3 linked regions of the Bombyx mori genome follow. The main gene of each other region encodes a partner of the protein of the gene in region 3 in a complex. Links are inferred from orthologs where the notes say so. Each region holds a gene or a part of one and is shown on either strand. Other genes may lie near its edges.

Region 1 (3,560 bases), on a different chromosome or scaffold from region 3:
CGGGTGATGTTGCAGGTGGATCGACGGTCCGAACGTTGTTAAACTTGTATAATATATGCAAGCTTATCTTGAAAATGTCGTAACCGAGATTCAGGCATCTGTCAAATATCTTATATTATATGATGGCTAGCCAAGGGTAACCACTCATCATGATGTGGGCTTTTTACTCATCTGTTAATAAACGTGATTAAATAACATCTATATAGACCCCGGTAGGATGGTCCAGGGAGTATCTGGAATAGCAGCAGCACTGCTTGACTAACCGCGACACCCAACGTCAAGTAATTTTCAGCCAGTCATGCATACTTAATGAGTCAGCCAGGCATACTTAGGGTGGTTCTGTGTTGACCTCTGTGCCCTTTCTACCTTTCCTGGGTCCTGTATCGGGCAAGCTCAGAAGTTGTCACAAGACAGGGGGGTGGCTTAATGGATTTTGCACCCTAATAAATTCATTATTTAAATGTAACTGTAGAAAATTGTTTATTTGAAAATGGGTATGAAAATAAAATATTAGATTGTAAAACAATTTGATTTACTTATCAACTATGATTCAGTTCTTGAGCCAATTTTTAATTAACCAGGTATTTCATCCATCATCTTTCGGTATTTGTGAATCTTCAACTGTTTTCGTACTTGGTACATACACTTTAAATGAGAACTCAGTTCGCGGAAAAGACCCAGGGTTCATAATCTGCGAGTTTTGATATGAGCGAGTATAAGGTTGGAAATGGTCGCCAATCACTACCAAATCCGGCATCGGATACAAACTTAAAGAATCCGAATGCTTCCAATACACTGGTTGTATAGCTAATGACAATGGTGACAGTGTACATTGACTAAACAAAGTCTTCACCAAATGATCAGGAATATCACCAGTCTCCGGAAAATGTACAGAATTCCTACACATTTTCATTACTAAATCTTGCCTGAAAACTACTATCTCTTGTGTACAGTATTGTATTCTGCATGGGTTCGTTGTGAAAATGACTGCATCACCTAATTTTTCTCTTATACCTTGTGTTATGGAACTTGGAATTGCTGGTCTTGGTAAAACATTGGCAGCACAAGGATCCGATCTGCCAGGTACAAAGATAAATTTGCATTCATCTTTCAATTTCTTGAATTGAGCTATTATTTCACCTAAGTTTGATAATGCCATTCGTAGCTGTGTGCAATGCTCCTGACCATACGGACACGAGAGGAATTCACCCATGAACACGATAGCCACAGGTGGAAAATCATTGTAGCCACTAAATAATGTTCTTAAGTTATTCATAACTTTCAATGTGTCTATCCAAACATCAGATAAGAATATAATCATTCCTTCTTTATTTTCCTGTTCAATCTTTAGCAATGACTTAGAGTTTTTAAGTAAAGTCTTAGAATTTCCACCAAATGTATTTAAATTACCAAAAAATGGCAGTGACGAGGCTCTGCTTTCCGGCGGCGGTAGCACAAGGCCCATAACATTTAATACCTTGTCATCATAATAACCTTCAACTAAAACGAAGCTATATTCAGTGAATAAGCCTGAGTGGTACCTTGTTTGTGACATATCGAGAACAACACTGCCAGTTGGATCTTCCAAGTAATATTTTCCTTCTGTCAACTGTATTAAAAGACCGAGCACAATCACATCATCGATTCGACTAGAAGAGCTTAGCAGCGCTTCGATTTTGCGCAATTGGAAATATTTCTCCTCGGCCAATGAAGGCAAGGCTTCTTGAGCAAACAATTTATTCCTAACAGTTCTTTGCCATATTATTTCGTATCTGTCTATCAAGAATTGCGCTTTCCACTTCGGTTCTGGATATAAATTGTTCTTATGTACAGATTTAACGAACTTATTTCTCTCATTGTCGTAACTCAGTTTGGGAATGTTAAAAGCGTCGATTACGTTTAAAACAGTTTCGGTCTCTTCAAGACCCGATGCAGAGCATTCTTTGAAGGCGATTTCCAGGTGTTCTTTCTCTAATACGGGCTGTGAAATACATTGTTTTAAAATGTGTGAAGTTAACTTGTCAAGAATTGCCCGTCGTTCATGTGGAGTCATTGAAGTTATTTGATCGGCAACGTAAGTGCTAGCTTCTTTGCGTATAGTAAATCCACTAAGTTTAAATGCATTGTTAACTTCTGCACGTACCGATTCCATACTTTTTTATTATAGGTAATCAAATTTTTTGTAAACAAAATCACATATTTTTAGTAAATAAATTTTAAAAAGCATGTTTATTTTTGTTTATCCAATTAGACAAGCAAAGGAAACATAGCCCATAAATCCGACTTTTAGCCTTGTACTTTATTTTGATAGGTCGAAGCCGTTTGTAATACGAAAATGTAAATGCATTTTTTAATTACTTAGCTGGGTAGACAAGTTCACGGTCTACCTGATGTTAAGTGGTTACGGGAGTCCATGGACCTATACCTTGAGATAATATAAGGTCTCTTAAGGTTCTAAGGTCTCAGTTTTTACAGTAGTGCAATTATTTTTATTACACGGTGTTATTCCTTCACCGTGGAAGTCTATAACTTCGTGAACATTTGATAAAATAACATATTTCATTATAAAAATTGTTTGCGGGATTTGAACATTGATGCATCGCAAGATACGAATGCACCGAAAGTCTTATCCTTTAGGCCACGAGAACTTCAAAATGCATGTGTCATAATATAAGGATGTACGGTACCGTGGTTGCGGCAGATTCTTCGCAAAAGAAAAATGGTGGGAATACATTTTTCAAATGGAATCAAAACACTAATCAAAACCAGCCAGATAAATTTATGCAATACAGCCAGAAATATTTATTAAACTGTATTGTATTCATAGACCTATCCGTCAGTGATTGTATTGTATTTTTTTTTTTAGCCTTTATTGCTGTTTTACTAACTTAATACATTACCTAATAATAAATTAAATTTAAGTGAACTTATAATCAATTATTCCGTTCGACGTTCGGCGTGGTTTTAAAAACAGCTTGTCTCTCGACAAAGGCCTCCTCTAAAGATTGATAAAACTTTTACTCTAATCTAATAGAATTCAAAATAGATTAAAATAACATATCAATGATTTGATCCAAATTTTATTACGTACCTACAACCTTGTACCTACCTACTAAAGTTTAATGACAGCAAAAAAATATTAAAACTACTCTTTAAAGTGGTGTACTGTACTATGATTATCAATTTTATCTTGTACTACAAGCAGTACAAGCAAAAGTATTGAGTAATTTTTAAAAAGATGACTAATCGGTAATCGGATTCTTGCGTCATAATATGTATTGCTTACATTTTTACCGTTTGGAGTTTGGGTATTCCCGCTTCTTAAGCTGACGAACGATTGAACACAACATATGTTTATAACTAAAATCCGCTCATATTTATTTCAGTTTGACTTTCTCGCTTGTTGAATAAATACACAGGAAATGTTTATTTAAAATAAAATACCTATTAAGAAATCTACAAACATCCTTAAAGTTTTAAAAGTCCACCAAATAAGGTAGGTAATAAATTTAATAGAACTTTAATTGCTGCTGAATAAATAATTAGATAGACCTACAAAT
Region 2 (4,418 bases), on a different chromosome or scaffold from region 3:
GTAGTTATAAAAATCCCACTCACATGAAATGTTTACAATTCATTCTATATTTAATCTACATCTACAAAACTCGCACTAAGCACAGATCAAATGCAATTATGAGTCCAGATGGCCTCAATTGTCACATGAAGTTGGAGTTTCAATCACTTGTATGGTTGAAACTCCAACTTCATGTGACAATTGAGGCCGTCAGCGCAAAAGTGGCCAAAGCTTACCATAGTTATTATGGAGCAGAGATATTTAAATTTTCACGAGTTTAAATTTGAGTACGCAAAAAACAATAGGGGCAAAAATAATGTTTACAGTCATCTATTACCTATGGGTGAAACTATGAATATGCCAGTTTTGCATCAAAATTTATTATATTTTAAATAGATTGCAATATACATAATTATAAACATGATTATGAAAAATTGTGGGTTAGGCCACTTTTGCGTTGACGGCCTCAATTATACTCCTGTATGCCTTAGATATTGTGAGAAACATACTTCAGTGCTCTTAATTATAGTTGAAATTATTTGATAAAAGTGTCACACAACAAATAGTTTGAGATGGTCCATGAAATGACAATTACTTTTAGATTACACCAGATCAAAGTTTTAGCAATATAATTTATAAACTTTCTGTTATTTATTTCACTTTAATATTTGAAAAACTTAAAGTAATCATAAGTAATACAAATTTTAATTGCATAACATTTTGATTAACAAACAACATGCAAAGGCAGAATTCTATCATTTAATGACACAATCATCAATTTAATGACACAATTAAATGATACTTGACGAGCACAATATTTGTAAATGTTATTACATTTCATGAAAGAAAAGAAACCAATTTGTAAAATTAAGTTAATAAAAATAACCCAACGCCAGAATAGGCTTATTGGCACAGATTAGGAGACACTCAACATTTGTTTCTGTTTAAATTCTTCACTTTTCTTCAGTCTGTGAATTTGTCCCTTAGTGTTTGTAGTTCCTGAAATTATAACATTTGAAGATTAAAATCACGATCATCTAGTTTGCTAAATTATTTAAAACATTGTGCATCCACTAACAGGCCACTATTGGTGTATTGGGAATGTTGTTATGTTTTAAAATAAATAAATAAGATTTAGTCTGTAACATTCGAAAAATCACTGCCAGGGTTGATGAGTTAGACTTCTACATCAAGTAATTCCAGTGTAGTTATTTACTTTTTTAGGATCTTTACATGTAATTTTTTTCTTAAATATATTTGAGAAAAGTATTTATGACTACACGCATTTTAAAACTAAATTAGTGTATTAGTCCTTAAATTAAATTATTTATTAAAATTTAGTAAAAATTTAGTAAATTAAATTATTCTAACTTACAGCTTATCACTCTTGTTCATTGTTACTGGATGAGTCTTCACTGCTGTCTTCACTGGAGTCTTCACTTGAATCATCACCGTTCTTGGCAGCTTTCTTGGCCATCATCTCTTTGAATTGACGCACAGTGATCTTTCGAGGCATGATCTCTCTGAGAAAGTCTAAAGTGTCATCCTCTTGAACAATATCAGCAATATGTTTGTATTCTAGGAAGTTGGCATTACTGTTTTTGTGTGCCCTCTTTGCTAGATCCATTACAAACAATTCCTGGAAATTAGTGTGATTATAATCTTTATCGGAGTCCATAGCTATCACAATGTGATTGTCACCACTCTAAGAACCTACGAAATAAGATCTAAGTCTCAGTTGTACTATAAAATACTGTCCAGACTATTCAAAATAGAATATCATCAATCATTGGAGTAATTGGTGTAATAAAAATCAAACTCATAAAATTTTAAAAAATTGCATAAAACTAGTCATTACGGTAGGGCGCACATCGGTATTTCGGCTGCGAAGCAGTAATGATTTTCGGTTTGAGGGGCGAGGCAGCTGTTACACTATACAATTGAAACCTCATGTCTCATGTTGGGTAGAGACATTCACACAGTGATGAGGTCTATAGGCTCCAGTAACTACTTAACACCAGGTGGGTCGTGAGCACGTTCAACCGTCGAAGTAATAAATAAAAAAAAATCGCCTTGGGAAGTTTAGGTTAGTTTAACTTAGGTTAACCTCTAGAAAACTCACTGTAACTTTAGTGACTAAATATAGTGGTTCTGGACCAACTGCTTCTACGTCCGGTGAGCTTTTCATTATTGTTTTAACCCTGGACAGGGGCAAATGCAGATCTTTTTCACTTTTTGGGGTAGCCATCGTTTTAGTCGAAAGGAAATACAAACTAACTAGAAATATTTTATAGGTGAACTATTAAAAATTCATTTCAAATAGATTATTTAAAACAGACCGCGAATCTCTAAGCATTTTAAACTGAAGTCAAAACTAAACGTCAAAATCAAAAACTTTGTTTTGTTTCATTTGTAAATCGGAAAGGCATGCGGAACATTGCTCATTAAATATTTTAATTTTCTGTAAGATTTGTTGGGTCCAAAGTGAGTGAGCGTGAATTTCCGCAGATCTTTTATCTTGAAAAAAAAAACAGTCACTGCTATGTTAGCCACAGTTTTATTCCAATTCCTCAATAATCGTGAACAACGATTATTGACGTCTAATACACAAAACAACACCCAATTTATATATTATACATCACAATAAACTATTAAAAAACATTAAAATAAAACTTCAAGTGACGCTTCACTCGGGTTGCCGCCAAAACTCTCTGATCATATTATTTAATAAGAATAGAGTAATGGTAGGCCATTGAGATTTTTACTAATGGAATCATTAATATCTAAAAATAATTATATAAAGTAATAATTATTATTACAATATATAAAAATTGAATTGAACAAAAATAAACTAAAAAAGTCTGTGAATTATAACCATTAGCTATTTTTTTTAATTTGTTGTTCAAGTCACAGACAACTCTTTCGTTTGGCAGCATATAGGTTTACTATAAGGCTGTATGGGCTAAGCCCTTTGCCTATTGGCGAATTTAAAAACTGTGCCATACTCAGTTTTGGAGATGAATGAAGTTAGCCCCTCAAAAAAATTTTTTTTTCCTATTTTCTACTTATTTTCTATTAATTCGTTTGTTCATCATTTGTTCATGATTGTTCACTGTTAATAATTGTTTGTTCTGCAGTTATTTATTTAAAAAAAATATTTAAAAATATACCTACAAGTTAGCCCCTCTAATGCAATTTTTAATATTTTTTCATCCTTAATGACTCGTAAATATTTATTTTCGATTGTTCTTATATAAAACACGTTTGTTATCTTTCGAAATTACTCGTTTTTTGTTTAATTTACTATTTTTATTAGTTGAATAAATGTATGCAAAATATGTGTACTGCGCATGCGTCAACTATAATGCCTAAACTTTCTACGTGGTTTTAATGGTGAAAAAGAAAACAAATATAAATCCTGAAGGAGCAATTAATTGGTATACAGTTTAATTAAAAAAATTAAAAATTAAATAAATGAAATAATGTGCATTGGCGTTAAGTTAGACCAAATACATTTTTTCCATCCTCTTACCTATCGTATTAAAATGTTATTTTACTAATGTTAGGAATATAATTTCGACTGTGTAAAAAAGTTATTATAATGTATACCTATATTATCTCTTGAAAGATAAATAATGAACATATTTACTTATTTGTTTATATTACCTATGTGAACTCCCTATCTTTTTTATACCTTCATAACGATAAGTAGGAGGATGGAAAAAATGTATTTGCTCTAACTTAACGCCAATGCACATTATTTCATTTATTTATTTTTTAATTTTTTTAATTAAACTGTATACCAATTAATTGCTCCTTCAGGATTTATATTTGTTTTTTTTTTCACGATTAAAACCGCGTAGAAAGTTTAGGCATTATAGTTGACGCATGCGCAGTACACATATTTTGCATACATTTATTCAACTAATAAAAATAGTAAATTAAACAAAAAACGAGTAATTTCGAAAGAGAACAAACGTGTTTTATATAAGAACAATCGAAAATGAATATTTACGAGTTATTAAGGATGAAAAAATATTAAAAATTGCATTAGAGGGGCTAACTTGTAGGTATATTTTTAAATATTTTTTTTAAATAAATAACTGCAGAACAAACAATTATTAACAGTGAACAATCATGAACAAATGATGAACAAACGAATTAATAGAAAATAAGTATAAAATAGGAAAAAAAGAAATTTTTGAGGGGCTAACTTCATTCACCTCAGTTTTGGGGTGTTATCAAATAAGTATTTTTTTTTTTTGTAAAACAATGCCAGGGTGAAAGAAATGTTGATACATAAACTAAAACACGTGAAAAAATAAGGCATAGTTTTTCAAGTACAAAAAGTTTAGACATAAAGTTGGCCCACTTTTGGGCATTGTCCTTTTCGGTTACATTTTTTTTTATTTCGAACCGTTTCGAATCGAAAAGTTCGA
Region 3 (3,067 bases):
AGTCACCGAATCTCTATAAAACTTATTAGTAACAAAAAACATAATAGCTTAAAAAAATAGAGAATATAACACGCTATCGCGTTTTTGTTCATTTGGACATCACTATTGTCAAAACAACACTGGCATCAACATTGCACCACGAGTTTGCGCAATACCTCCAAGCGTACCTAACTCAATAAAAATGTATTTATAAATTTTATTTCAATTTTATTACGTACTTAGTAAATTCAACAATTGACCTTCCCTTTTATATGTATTCACGTCATTCATTTTTAATTTTTCATCGATTTCTGTAAAACTAGGTCATTGACCTGTTTAGTTGATTCAGTTGTCAATTTCTATCTAAAAAGTAGATACCTATTATGTTTTAAAAACGAACTAACACGGACAACGTGTCCTTTGATACGCTAATATACGCTTTCATGGTAGTCAATGTATGCCTAGTAAATCTATGGTAAGCCTACTGATATATTTTATTATATTTTCTAAATAATGTTTTTAAGCACACTGGTCACTCGTAAATCAGCTGTTTACGGGTAACATGATAACGAACGCGAAGCTTTTGTGAACTGAAGGCCATGTTATTTTTTAAAGATGAAATTTTTATTGCTGTTCCTCCCTTCAAACCGGAATGCAATAATGCTTTGTGGCAGAAATGAGCAAGTAATTTCGTTCGTTTCTCATTATATCGACATCGTGCAAATCAAATAATTCTACAAACAACACGAGTGTTCGAACCATTGCTTTTTATTTTTATCAACAATCAACAAGGTTTCAAGCGAATTAAATGGCTGATTAAAATAACAGATTATCAGATTATAATAATTTAACCAAAAAATAATAGCGAAAATAAACTTTTACATACTTTTGAGTAATTTATTTTTTGACCGTGAATTATTTTGGATAATGGTGACTGCTAAATATTTTGAGTTAATTAGACGATAAAGTCGATTTCCCACCAAAGCATACAGTTTAAGTTTATCTCATATTGTCTTGATCTTTGCTGCACTACAAGCCCTCTTCTGGTCTGCATTCGTTAAATGGACATTATGCGTCATCATCAATGCGTGCTTTCTTGCCACCAGTGAATTAAAATTATCACGCAATCCTATATTTTTGTAATATTTTTGGAAAACAGATCGCAATGTTTTTATAGCATGTAACGTGAATAAGATTTGAGGTTTTAATTTTGAAGAATAATAGAAACGTTGAATAAACAACAAATAAACACGTGATAACGCTAAATACTAATTGTGAATTCGGTAGGCTACTACACTGCAGGATCTAACTGCTGGTATTGTCCCATCGTTTTATGTAACTTCACCGGGTATCTCATACAGCATAATAATATAGTTTAAGCCACGATACCTATGAAAACTTTGAAAAAAAGGCATTGTATTCCGAGTACCTATTTTTGAGACTTTTTGTAGCACGGCGACAGGCGGCAGTTACTAACCCTTGTATCCATAGATAATACACATAGAGAGTACTATCGTAACATTCGTAACTGTGTATAATCTATAACTGTGACTGTATGCTCCAATCAATGTCAAGAAATGTCATTAGTGCTTCTGGCGGTTAAATTAATGTTTTCATTTAATTCCAGATTTTATAAATAGGAACGTTATAAACAAAAATGGCTGAAAAACTCGAAGATTTGAATTTACCACTCACAGTTGTAACTAGAATCGTAAAAGAAGCTCTTCCCAGTGGCGTATCGATATCAAAAGAGGCGCGAACTGGCCTCGCTAAGGCGGCTTCAGTTTTTGTACTTTATGTGACTTCAGCAGCTACAAATATTGTTAAGAACAAAAAAAGGAAGGCTCTCACTGGGCAGGACGTGATAGATGCTATGAAAGACATCGAATTTGATAGATTTGTGGAACCTTTAGGAGAAGCTCTGGAACATTACAAGACCATGGCTTCGGCACGAAAATCCGCTTCTATGAAGAAAAAAGATGAACAAGAAGACGCTGAGATTATAGAAGACGATTGAATACTACTGCGACTTGAGTTTAAAATGTATAGTGGCGCTTAGTGGTGTATATTCAGAAACTGTGCTGAAAAACTATATGAAATAAGTTCAAAGAACCCATGCCTGTGTTACAAAAGTGATAAATGTTTAAATGAAACAAGTTTCCCATGAACATTTACAACAGTTACCTCGCAATAATTAATCAGTTGGTAATAATGTATGAAGTGTTTTAAAATTAAATAAACTTTTATTAAAAACAAGTAAACTTCAAAAGCATCCCAAAATGAATTGTGTCCACTTACTTTTACATCAGTAAATTAACTACAATTAAAACTTAGAACTTCTCAAAATTTGTTTTTGCAATTTGCTAAAATTAAAAGTATTTTATTTGATTTATTACTGATATTTTTCTAAACTTAATTTTTACTGCCATAAAAATTACTTAATGTTAGGTTATGTATGTATGTATGTTATGTAAATGTTACAATTATTACTAGATCTGGTCACACATCCTTTTAAAACTTGTAATTATAAGAAAATTTTGTTAGAATCTGGCTTTTCTATTATTTTTCAGTATTCTAGAATAGTCTCAAGAGAAATTAAAATAATGGTTATGTTTGTGTGAAAACCTCCAATTATTTTCATTCAATATATCATACAATATTCAATGCCCTGCTTATCTATGGTGGTAGTTCTCGAAACTTGGTAGTTTGTTTTGGCTTTTGTCAAGAGTGGGACATGACAACCAATTTGAATTAAATGATACGAAATATGAATCAAATGAGTCGACTATTATCAAAGCCGGCAATGTGACTTTTGGACAATTATTGGTAAATCAGAAAAACGAATTATTGACTTTGTATTCTGTTGGCAGTCACAAAACTCTTCTGAACGACATCTTAGATAAATAACAGGTTAAGTATTAACCTTTATTTAATGCAGGTTTTGAACCGTATTCTTTGAAGGAGACGATTATATTCAAATCAATCTGTATTGACATATCAATAACATTTTTTTGTCCAAATGCACAGATTGCCACCTTTGATAATAGACGACTCAAATACAATATAACATCATAGGATAAGATTCAAA

Evidence for each region. The genes of interacting proteins can lie anywhere in the genome.
Region 1: DNA polymerase epsilon subunit 3 (region 3) and DNA polymerase epsilon subunit 2 share a complex: the UniProt entries of both Homo sapiens proteins name them as parts of the DNA polymerase epsilon complex. The link is inferred for Bombyx mori from reciprocal best matches to the Homo sapiens genes POLE3 and POLE2.
Region 2: DNA polymerase epsilon subunit 3 (region 3) and chromatin accessibility complex 16kD protein share a complex: the UniProt entries of both Homo sapiens proteins name them as parts of the CHRAC ISWI chromatin remodeling complex. The link is inferred for Bombyx mori from reciprocal best matches to the Homo sapiens genes POLE3 and CHRAC1.

Annotation. Positions count from the first base shown.
Region 1 is NC_085134.1:2,670,479-2,674,038, reverse strand, and holds DNA polymerase epsilon subunit 2, read right to left. Parts: upstream 2,270-3,560; 5' UTR 2,153-2,269; coding exon 587-2,152; 3' UTR 516-586; downstream 1-515. UniProt on the Homo sapiens protein: Accessory component of the DNA polymerase epsilon complex. Participates in DNA repair and in chromosomal DNA replication.
Region 2 is NC_085111.1:17,749,500-17,753,917, forward strand, and holds the start of chromatin accessibility complex 16kD protein, read right to left. Parts: upstream 2,816-4,418; 5' UTR 2,228-2,815; coding exon 2,102-2,227; intron 1,619-2,101; coding exon 1,361-1,618; 3' UTR 1,355-1,360; intron 979-1,354; 3' UTR 1-978. UniProt on the Homo sapiens protein: Forms a complex with DNA polymerase epsilon subunit POLE3 and binds naked DNA, which is then incorporated into chromatin, aided by the nucleosome remodeling activity of ISWI/SNF2H and ACF1.
Region 3 is NC_085130.1:7,455,882-7,458,948, reverse strand, and holds DNA polymerase epsilon subunit 3, read left to right. Parts: upstream 1-1,511; 5' UTR 1,512-1,636; coding exon 1,637-1,996; 3' UTR 1,997-2,525; downstream 2,526-3,067. UniProt on the Homo sapiens protein: Accessory component of the DNA polymerase epsilon complex. Participates in DNA repair and in chromosomal DNA replication.